Linked DNA regions of Oryctolagus cuniculus. The protein of the gene in region 1 purifies or fractionates together with the protein of each later gene. This does not show direct contact. Links are inferred from orthologs where the notes say so. Each region holds a gene or a part of one and is shown on either strand. Other genes may lie near its edges.

Evidence for each region. The genes of interacting proteins can lie anywhere in the genome.
Region 2: the proteins of RPS6KA4 (region 1) and CSNK2B purify together in Homo sapiens (affinity purification with mass spectrometry; 3 studies listed by BioGRID and IntAct, with this or other methods). This does not show direct contact. The link is inferred for Oryctolagus cuniculus from reciprocal best matches to the Homo sapiens genes RPS6KA4 and CSNK2B.

What each region holds. Positions count from the first base shown.
Region 1 is NC_091432.1:6,979,238-6,984,907, reverse strand, and holds the start of RPS6KA4 (ribosomal protein S6 kinase alpha-4), read left to right. Parts: upstream 1-1,986; 5' UTR 1,987-2,077; coding exon 2,078-2,126; intron 2,127-2,211; coding exon 2,212-2,283; intron 2,284-2,920; coding exon 2,921-3,139; intron 3,140-3,226; coding exon 3,227-3,342; intron 3,343-3,778; coding exon 3,779-3,886; intron 3,887-3,985; coding exon 3,986-4,066; intron 4,067-4,149; coding exon 4,150-4,253; intron 4,254-4,361; coding exon 4,362-4,512; intron 4,513-5,670. Other genes in the region: CCDC88B (coiled-coil domain-containing protein 88B), read left to right, coding at 1-347. UniProt on the Homo sapiens protein: Serine/threonine-protein kinase that is required for the mitogen or stress-induced phosphorylation of the transcription factors CREB1 and ATF1 and for the regulation of the transcription factor RELA, and that contributes to gene activation by histone phosphorylation and functions in the regulation of inflammatory genes.
Region 2 is NC_091436.1:138,947,093-138,951,165, reverse strand, and holds the start of CSNK2B (casein kinase II subunit beta), read left to right. Parts: upstream 1-1,273; 5' UTR 1,274-1,292; coding exon 1,293-1,364; intron 1,365-2,429; coding exon 2,430-2,532; intron 2,533-3,092; coding exon 3,093-3,208; intron 3,209-3,615; coding exon 3,616-3,691; intron 3,692-3,835; coding exon 3,836-4,025; intron 4,026-4,073. UniProt on the Homo sapiens protein: Regulatory subunit of casein kinase II/CK2.

The DNA.
Region 1 (5,670 bases):
CCCGGAGCTCGGCAGGGCCGCCCGCTGGCCACTGGAGTGTCGCGGGGGACCCCAGGCAGTCCAAGAGCCAGGGGAGCCCGTCCACACGGGGCGCGCGAGGAGAGCACTTGGACAAGGAGGCCTGGGCTCTCCAGCCCGCCACGGCCCGCGTAGGGGTCCCGGGACGGAGCTGGGGTGAGCCTGTGGACAGGGGGGATGGCTCGCGGCCTGCACTGAGGTGGCAGTCTCCGGAGGATCCCTCAGCACGAGGGGACTGGAAGGAGTGGGCAGGAGAGCCCCCTGCCCGGGCCGGGCGGGGCACCAAGGCCCACCACTCCCTGGGGACCGTGTCCTGGGCCGACCTCTGAGCCTTCCCTGGGACGCAGTGGGGCATAAGAATAAAGCTGAGTCCTGCCTCGTGTCTGTTGGCTGCATCTTGGAGCCTCGAGGTGCCGGGGACACAGTGGGACACAGCGGCCTGGCCCGGCCAGGACACAGCTGCAGAGGGCGCCTCCAGGGGCGGGGAGTGGGGTGGCAAGCTGGGGACAGCGGGTGCGGCCACCACGACCCTCACACCCGCTTCTCTCCCTTCCCTGCCTTTGTCCAGCCTCCTCGTCCTCTCTCCCAGAGCCCTGTGGGGCCAAGCCCTGCCCCGGGGAGCTCGTAGCCTGGTGGGTGGGTGGAGTCTCTGAGCAGGGCCCCGGGGTTACCGCCCTGGGAAGGGGGGCAATTAGGTGGGGCAGCAGGAAGTGAGTCAGGGTACCTGGGGCCGCCCAGGGCAGGGTGGGGCTGCCCGAGCCGACAGGAGGTGGCCTGAGCTTGGAGGTGTGCGGAGCCCCGGGGCGGCAGCCAGCCCAGCCTTCCCGGGGCGACCTGCAGCAGCCCCGCTTCCTCTTCCTCTCCGCAGAGGCTTTGCAGGGCAGTGTGGGGCGGTGCACCCCTGCCCCCAGCTGTCAGAGGAGCTAAAACTGCCCCCGGGCCTCTGGCGGCTGCCGCCCCCTCTCACCCCCCACCCCCCTGGAGGACAGGCCAGCCAAGGGCCCTGGGCCTCAGGGGAGGGGGACTCCCCTGAACCACGCTGATGCCCCTTTTTGGGGATCTGGGGTGGGTACTGCAAGACAAGGAGGTGTGCATGGCCTCTGGTGGGCTGTGAATGGGGGCGGGGGCTGCCCCTCCCCGCCGCAGGGTCCCGGCTTGGTACTGGCCCCTTGCCGTAGCAGGTCCTGGCCTCAGAGCGGCCGAGCCCCCAGCTTCCCTGCAGAGCCCAGGCCACTGCGGGGAGAGAGGCTGGATCGGGAACCCAGGGGAGATGTAGCTGGTCCAGGATCACAAAGCAGGCCTGAATCCCAGCACCCTCCTAGCCTGGCCAGCGCGGCCTGAATCCCGCACCCTCCTAGCCTGGCCAGTGCGGCCTGAATCCCGCACCCTCCTAGCCTGGCCAGCACGGAGAGCTGGGGCCGCTGAGTGTGAGGCGTGGGGCTGAGGAGCCGGCGGCGGGCGCTGGCCGCTGTCAGCCGGCCTTGGGCTGCTCATTTGTCGAGCGGACACACCACTCCGCTCTCCTGTTTGCTGTGGACAAGAAGGGGACGGGGTGGTGTGATTGGCAGGGGCTCCAGAAAGTCCCAGGAGGATGCTCGGCTGTCCGCAAGGCTGGCGCGGGGGCACGGGCTCCCAAGGTCCTTGCCACCACTGGCAGCAGCAGGTGTCCTGGGGCGCATACCTGGCTTGTGCTCACCCAGCAGGGCCTCCAGGTCACCCACGGGCCCCCGCCAGGACTCCCGGCTGTGTCCAGGTCCCTGGGAGGGTTGATTGAGGTCCCAGAGTGCAGAGCTCTGACGCCCATCCCCGCAGCCCCCCGCCGCCACCCCGCTCGGGAGACAGGGCCAACCCTTTCTGGCCGCCGCCTGCCGCTGTCACGTTCCAGCCGCCTGACTCAGGCCGCGGCAAGGCGGGGAGCCGGGAGGCGGCGCCGGCGCCCGCCTCAGCCCCGGAGGCGGCACCAGGAAGCGCCCGCCCCGGCCGGAGCCGCCATGTAACCGGCGCCGCCCGGAGCCCCGAGCCGCACGGGGGGGCCCCAGCGACTCGTCCCCCGCCCGACATGGGGGACGAGGACGAGGGCTGCGCCGTGGAGCTGCGGATCACGGAAGGTGGGTGCAGGGCCGGCCGCCGGCTGCGCGGGAGGGCTGGGAGGAGTCTCGGGCGGGCTGGGCTCATCGGCCCCTGTGCCCACAGCCAACCTGACCGGGCACGAGGAGAAGGTGAGCGTGGAGAACTTCGAGCTGCTGAAGGTGCTGGGCACGGGAGGTGAGTGCCCCTGGGCACCGGGCAGGTGTCCCGGCACGGCGTCCCGGGGCCTGCTGCCCGCACACCCGCCTGCTCTGGGGCCAGGCTTCTGGGAAGGCCCCCACCCTTTCCCGGCTCCAACCGGCCATCCCGGGGTCGGGTGCCCACTTCCCGGGCGCTCCATGTTGGCATCGTCGCTTCCTGTGGGGTCCTGGGCATGCATGCCCCCTCCCGCGGCTGCTCGGAGGTCCTGGGGGCTTGCACCCCACCCAAGTGGCTTGCACAGCGCCCCCCCTTCTCCCCACGTGACAGCCCCCTTGCGCGTTTGCAGACTCCCCCAGGCCTGCTTTGCACATCCCTCCCTTGGCCAGGCGTGCAGCCGGGCCTCCTCCCCGCATCCTTCCCAAATGCTTTCTCGCAGGTTGGCACACGCCCCGCCCCCACTCCTCCCTCCCCGGGCTGCACATCCCTTCACGGCCCCTGCTGAGCCGCCCCTGGGCTGTGCACACCTGCTCCTCCAGCTCTTTGCACGCCTGCCTCTCCCCCTGGCTCCCCCCACACACCTCCCCAACACCACCCCAGGTTTGCACGCCACCCTGGGTTGCGCCCGTCCGCCTTCCCACTCACAGCCCCTCTTCCTCGCCCTCGTCTCTCGCAGCCTACGGGAAGGTGTTCCTGGTCCGGAAGGCAGGCGGGCACGACGCGGGGAAGCTGTACGCCATGAAGGTGCTGCGAAAGGCGGCGCTGGTGCAGCGTGCCAAGACGCAGGAGCACACGCGCACGGAGCGCTCGGTGCTGGAGCTGGTGCGCCAGGCGCCCTTCCTGGTCACGCTGCACTACGCCTTCCAGACCGACGCCAAGCTGCACCTCATCCTGGGTGAGGACCGGCGCGGGCCGGCGCGGGGGCGGGGCGGGGCGGGGGGCAGGGGCGGCCGCGTCCTCACCTCCACCGCTGTCGCCCCAGACTACGTGAGCGGCGGCGAGATGTTCACCCACCTCTACCAGCGCCAGTGCTTCAAGGAGGCCGAGGTGCGCGTGTACGGCGGCGAGATCGTGCTGGCCCTGGAGCACCTGCACAAGGTGGGCGGGCATTGGCCCCTGGGCCTGGCGAAGCGGCTCCCGAGTAGCAGCCTCGGTCTCTCCGGGCTGCCTGGGCCGGGTGGGCAGCTGCTTCCCCCTCCCGCCCCAGGCCCCCTGGTACTGCCTGCTGGGGTGTCGTCCCCCCACGCGCGCCTCCTCGAAGGGGCTTTCCTCTCACAGGGAACCCGGGGCCACCTCCCCGGAACTTCCTCAAACGCAGGCCTGTGCTGTGGCTCCCTCGCCTCTCCACACACACGGGCCCCTCTCCCTGGAACCCGGGCCTGCGCGCCTTAACTGGCCTTTGGCAGCCAGCGGCCCAGCCCCGCGCTGGGGCCCCCTCGGCAGGCAGGAGGCGCCGGGGGCGCAGGAGGCGGGCCCCGCTTGTCCCGAGCTCGGGGGCTGGGGGAAGCCTCAGCGCCCGTCTTGGCCCCGCCAGCTGGGTATCATCTACCGGGACCTGAAGCTGGAGAACGTACTGCTGGACGCCGACGGCCACGTGGTGCTCACGGACTTCGGGCTGAGCAAGGAGTTCCTCACGGAGGAGGTGCGCGCCCCCGCCCCGCCCGCCCGCCGCTCCCGGGGGGGGGGCGGGGGGGCGCGAGGAGCGAGCCCGGCGCCCACGCGGGTCCTCTCGCCCTCGCAGAAAGAGCGGACCTTCTCCTTCTGCGGCACCATCGAGTACATGGCCCCCGAGATCATCCGCGGCAAGGCGGGCCACGGCAAGGTGGGCCTGCGCGGGCGGCGCGGGGCCGGGGCGGCGCGGGGCCGGGGGCGCGCGCGCGGGGCCCTGACCGCTCCGGCCCGCAGGCTGTGGACTGGTGGAGCTTGGGCATCCTGCTCTTCGAGCTGCTCACGGGGGCCTCGCCCTTCACCCTGGAGGGCGAGAGGAACACGCAGGCCGAGGTGTCCCGGTGAGGAGGGCCGGACGCGGAGGGCGGCCGAGGGGCAGCAGGGCCTGCCTGGGCGGGGCCGTGGAGGGGGGCCCCCCGCTGCCCCTGACAGCACCCCCATCCTCCCAGACGGATCCTGAAGTGCTCCCCTCCCTTCCCCCCCCGGATCGGGCCCGTGGCACAGGACCTGCTGCAGAGGCTGCTCTGCAAGGACCCCCGGAAGCGGCTGGGCGCGGGGCCCCAGGGGGCCCAGGACGTCAAGAGCCACGCCTTCTTCCAGGTGAGGCGGGGGGGGGGGCGCTGGAGGGGTGCGCTGAGCCTGGCCCAGTCCCCTTTGCTTTGGAAACTTGTCCCAGAGGAAGCCAGCGTGCCTGCGCCAAGGCTTCTGCGCCGTCTCCTTGGAAACCGGGAAGCTGAGGTTCAGAGAGGGGAAGGCGTTTTCCGAGGTCCCCCACCCCCGCCAGGTGGCGGCGGTCGCATCCAAGGCCGGGCCTCTGTGACACGGGAGCGGGGGCCTGGCTGCGGGCGCCACGTGTCACCCGTGGGAGTCCTCCCCGCCTGCCCGGCCTGGGAGGGGGCTTCCCACGTGCTCTCAGAGGGGGGTCTAGGTCTCAGGGGCGCAGGGGTCCCTTTGGTGGGGGTGGGGAGCGGGCAGCTCCGTCAGCGGACGGCCCAAGCCCACCCGCCCCACGCCGGGTGCTGTGCGGGTGCCGGGAGGAGCGTTCCCGCCCCCTTCTCTCTGGAGGCCCCTGGTGGCTGAGTCCTGGTCTTCGAGCCCAGCTCAGCCTCTTGGCTGCTGGGGACAGAGAAATCTAACTGGAAATGGTGAAAACCTGGGTTCAAGTTCTGCCCCCCCCATTCCAGCTTCCTGCCGATGTGAACCCCGGGACGCAGCCGTGGGATGTTCCAAGTAGCTGGGTCCCTGCCACTCATGTGGGAGACTCGGGTCGGGTTCCCAGCTCCTGGCTTCCGTGTGGCCCAGCTCCGGCTGTCGCAGGCATCCAGGGGGTGGGAGGAGTCTGCCTGCTTTTCAAATTAAATACATAAATACTCTGAGACAGTTTGGCAACAGCATAGAGGTCTTTACTGCCTGGCGTCTCCAGGAACCCAGCCAGTGTGGATATATTGCATATATCTTAAATATCCCTTCCATCCCGACCTGCATCCCAGAGGTGCCTCAAGGCCCAGAGTGGCTGCGGGAGCTCTTGCCATCTAAGCTGCTCAGCAGGCAGGGGGCAGGAGGAAGAAGGAGATTGGCAGGCAGGGCGCTGGCCGACCGTCTGCCTCCTTCCGGAGCTCCTTCCTGAGGTCCTACCTGACGGTTTTACCCACAAGCCATCAGTCACTTGTAGCTGCCAGGAAGTTCTAGCCGTGCGTATTGGTTCTTGGGGTGAAATGGGGGCCGTGACACTAGGGAGGGCAGGGAACCGGGTCCTGG
Region 2 (4,073 bases), on another chromosome or scaffold:
GGCGCCGCCTCAGGTTAGCGCACCGGGCCGTCCTGGTTGTCAATAACGCTCAACTCAGGACAGACACACCCGACCCAGGTCCCTCAGCACGGAGCCCGTTCGTACCTCCCACCTCAGAAGGCCCGAGCTCAGGGTAAAACGTGGGGCTCTCCTGTGCAAGGCCGTGCCCGACTTGATAAGAACTAGGAGGGTTGGCCAGGGCTCACTGAGGGTCCCCGAGGGCAACGTCTGCGACCCGACTCGCCTCGCTTCTTCCCCCGCCCCCTCTTGGCCCCTCAGTCCAGTGAGCATACGACTCTATTTCCCAGGCTCCTGGCCCCGAACGCCTTACTTGGCTTCCGCTTCCGGTGGCGCCTCGCTGTGCCCCGCCCCCGAGCCGCGTCCTCGGGGGCCTCGCGACACGAGGGTCGTGAGTGAGCTGTCCTGGGATTCGTAGTTCGCTTTTCCCTCGCTTCGCCGGTCTCTCGCCCTAGCGGACTCCATCTCCCAGCGTCCACCGCGGCTCTCGCCCCTCGGCGCTTGCGCGTTGCCCTCTTCCCCACCCTCCCCGATTTCCACTCCCCCCACCCGACTTCGCCTGCCGCGGTCGGGTCCGCGGCCTTCGCTGTAGCGGTCGCCGTCGTTCTTTGGAAGCAGCTGTTCCCCTCCCCCACCCCGGTCCCGCTCCCCGTCCAGCTGGTGAGTGTGAAGTGGTTGCCCCGCGGAGTTCCCGGTCCCTAGGAGCGGCACATGGGGTCTCCCCGCCTTGAGGTGGGGGCGAGGAAGGAAGTGACCCGGTCCGTAACCGTGGGAGGGAAGGGTGGCCGGAGAGCGGGAGGCAGGCTGTGGGGACTCCGTGAAAGAGTACCTGGCGGTGCCCGCCCCTCGCCCCGGGTCGTGAGAAAAGGAGGTGTCGGTCGTTGCTTGGCAAAGATAAACTTCTAATTCTTGGGGAAGGGTGCCGGAGCCCTGCGGTGGTAGGGAGCCCGAGCCGAGGACTCTGCCAGAGTTGACACAGGCGAGAGGGGTCTGGCCATCGGGGGCGCGGGGGATGTAGGTAGGGACTGCTGGGTCGGTACTTGTGGGCTCCTGCCAAGGAATTTCTAAGTTCATTCAGAGAAAAGGGGCCGAGGTGTAAATAACAAGAGCTAGAGAAGCCTGTCCCAAAGGCTGGGATCCTTTAAAAAAAAAAAAAAAAAAAAGGGTGGCCCCAAATTCTTCCATGGCTGAAAGACAGAGTGTGGGAGGAGGGAAGGTGCCAGAGCCGGGGAGGGAGAGCTTGGACTTGACTCCTGTTTCCAGCTGACGTGAAGATGAGCAGCTCGGAGGAAGTGTCCTGGATTTCCTGGTTTTGTGGGCTCCGTGGCAATGAATTCTTCTGTGAAGTGAGTGCTTTTCGTTCTTCCTACTCGCTGGTTCCATGCGTTCAGGTTGGGTATCTTCAGCTTTTGCACACTTTATCCCGTGGAAACTCCTTCCCGTGAAAGAAGGGGTCCCCTCAGTAACCCCCCACTAATCAGCGGCGATGTGGCAAGACTGGGGCCCAAGTCCCATTTCTGTCACACACCCCACCGCACCCCCAGGAGGATAACATTGAACTAGTCAGACCATCTTTTTTTTTTCTTTTTCTTTTTTAATTTTTTTATTGTACTTAAAGTATCTGAAGGTAGAGCAACAGAGAAAGTGAAGGATCTTCTGTCTACTGGTTTATGTCCCAAATTTCTACAACAGCTACTGCTACCAGCCAGGCTGAAGTAAAGATCCCAAAACTTACCTGGGTTTCCCATGTGGGTGGCAGGGACTCAAGTACTTGTGCCATCACCCTGCTACCTTCCAGGGTGTGTGTTAGCAAGAAGCTGGAATTGGAAGTGGAGTTGGGACTTGAACCTGAGCATTCCAGTTTGGGATGTGGGTTATCTCTAACCATGTAGGAACCACCGTGCCAAGTGTCCTTTCTCCTTTGCTTTTTCATTACTAGAATGCTACTGGTAGTGCTTATCTCTGGGGGCTGTTAGGAGAATTGGAATACTGCACCTTAAAATGTTCTGTAACATGCAAAGCTCTGTGTTGACATAAGGAATTCTAACCACCTTCAGAAACCAAGCTGTTCAGCCTCCACCTTCCTCAGAGAGCAGCTGTTCCCTCAGGAGAGGACAGAACTGGTTCCTAGAGATGAGGAACAGGACTAGAGACGCGGGAGTCGAGTGTGTCTCTAAGGAGACTGCTGTGCTTGCTTGTCCTTGGAGGAGAGAAGCTGGAGCTTTCACGGGGGGGAGGGCGTGCGTGTGAACTCGGGACAGCGGCTGAAGTACTGACGCTGAGTTGGAGTAGGAAACAGGCAGACCAGACGCAGCCGTGTGGCCGACAAGGCGTTCGTTAGGTGACCTTGGCCAGCTCAGAAGCTGGGGGTCCCAGTAGGAGTTTTCCTCTTGACCTCCGTGTTCTACCAGGTGGATGAAGACTACATCCAGGACAAATTTAACCTTACCGGCCTCAATGAGCAGGTGCCTCACTATCGACAAGCTCTAGACATGATCTTGGACCTGGAACCTGGTGAGACACCCTCAAGGTTCATGGTGGGGGGGCTGTTTTTCTCTTCAAATTACCTCTTGAATTTACCTCTTGAATTTCTAAACTTCCTTTTGGTTCTCTGACACCCTTAACCTCAAAGTCCCAGCAGCATTTTTGCCCCCCTCCTTGAATTCTTGCCTAGTTTTGTGACTGATAGCACTTGCTGCCATACTTTCTGAATTTGTAGCTCAGCGCTCCTCCTTATGCGAGTTTCCTCGCGGGTCTTGTTTACTGCCTCTTTGCCTGCCTTGCACCCTCCAGTCTAGAGTTCCACCTTCTGTGTTGACATCTTTGTATTTACGTACTAAGGAAGGAGTTGGGAGGGAGAGAAGAGAGCAGAGGCTGAAGAGGTGTGGAGAGAAGGCTGGGCTTCCTTGGGTTGGTGGAAGGGGCAGAGACCCAGGTTAAATGCCCACGTGAGGACTGGGTGAAGCTCAAGGATGGGTGCTGGGCAAACTGGGCAGCCAACAGCCCTGGGGGTGGGCGGGGCACCTGGGAAAGCTGGAACGCCAGTGGTTGCATGTGGCTGGCCCATATTTCAGACGAAGAGCTGGAAGACAACCCCAACCAGAGCGACCTGATTGAGCAGGCGGCCGAGATGCTTTACGGATTGATCCATGCCCGCTACATCCTCACCAACCGAGGCATCGCCCAGATGGTGAGGCCTCTCTGCGCCTGCGTGACTCCTTGTGAGGCAGTAAGGGAAACAGGTTCCTACAGTGAGCAGTAATCTGGCAGCCCTGTCAAGGAGTCGAGCTGAGATGAGAAAAACCCAGAGTTTGGGCCGGGAAACTGAGTCCTCCCTGGACGTCCTGCTGAGGGGGTGTCTTCAGGGAGGGCGATGTGAGCTTGGTCAGAGTTGTGGACTGCTTCTTCCTCAGAGAACAGACGGCAAATGGCCCTGGATGTCATTAGCCTCCCTAACTGGGGGGAAAGTTGGTGGGCCCCTTTGATCTGCACAAGGACCTCCAAGAAGAGGGAGGAAATGTGGAGGACAGAGTTATGTGGGGGTCGCTGCTTATCCTCATACCCACCCACCAATCCCTTCCATTTTTTTCCCTTCAGTTGGAAAAGTACCAGCAGGGAGACTTTGGCTACTGTCCCCGTGTATACTGTGAGAACCAGCCAATGCTTCCTATCGGTGAGTATTGAAGAAGGGAGAGGGGGCACCATCTGGCAGTCCTCTGGGAAGGAGTTGGGCTCAGCAAGGCGGGAGCTGAGTTCTGGGGCAGGGGACTCGGCAGTGTCGCGGGTGCCTGGCCTGCTGAGTCTGGCTGTCTCCCAGGCCTGTCGGACATCCCAGGTGAGGCCATGGTGAAGCTCTACTGCCCCAAGTGCATGGACGTGTACACACCCAAGTCATCGAGGCACCATCACACGGATGGTGCCTACTTCGGCACTGGTTTCCCTCACATGCTCTTCATGGTGCATCCCGAGTACCGGCCCAAGCGACCCGCCAACCAGTTTGTGCCCAGGTGGGGAGCAGACAGAGTCACCATGTGTCAAAGGAAAGACTCAGAATC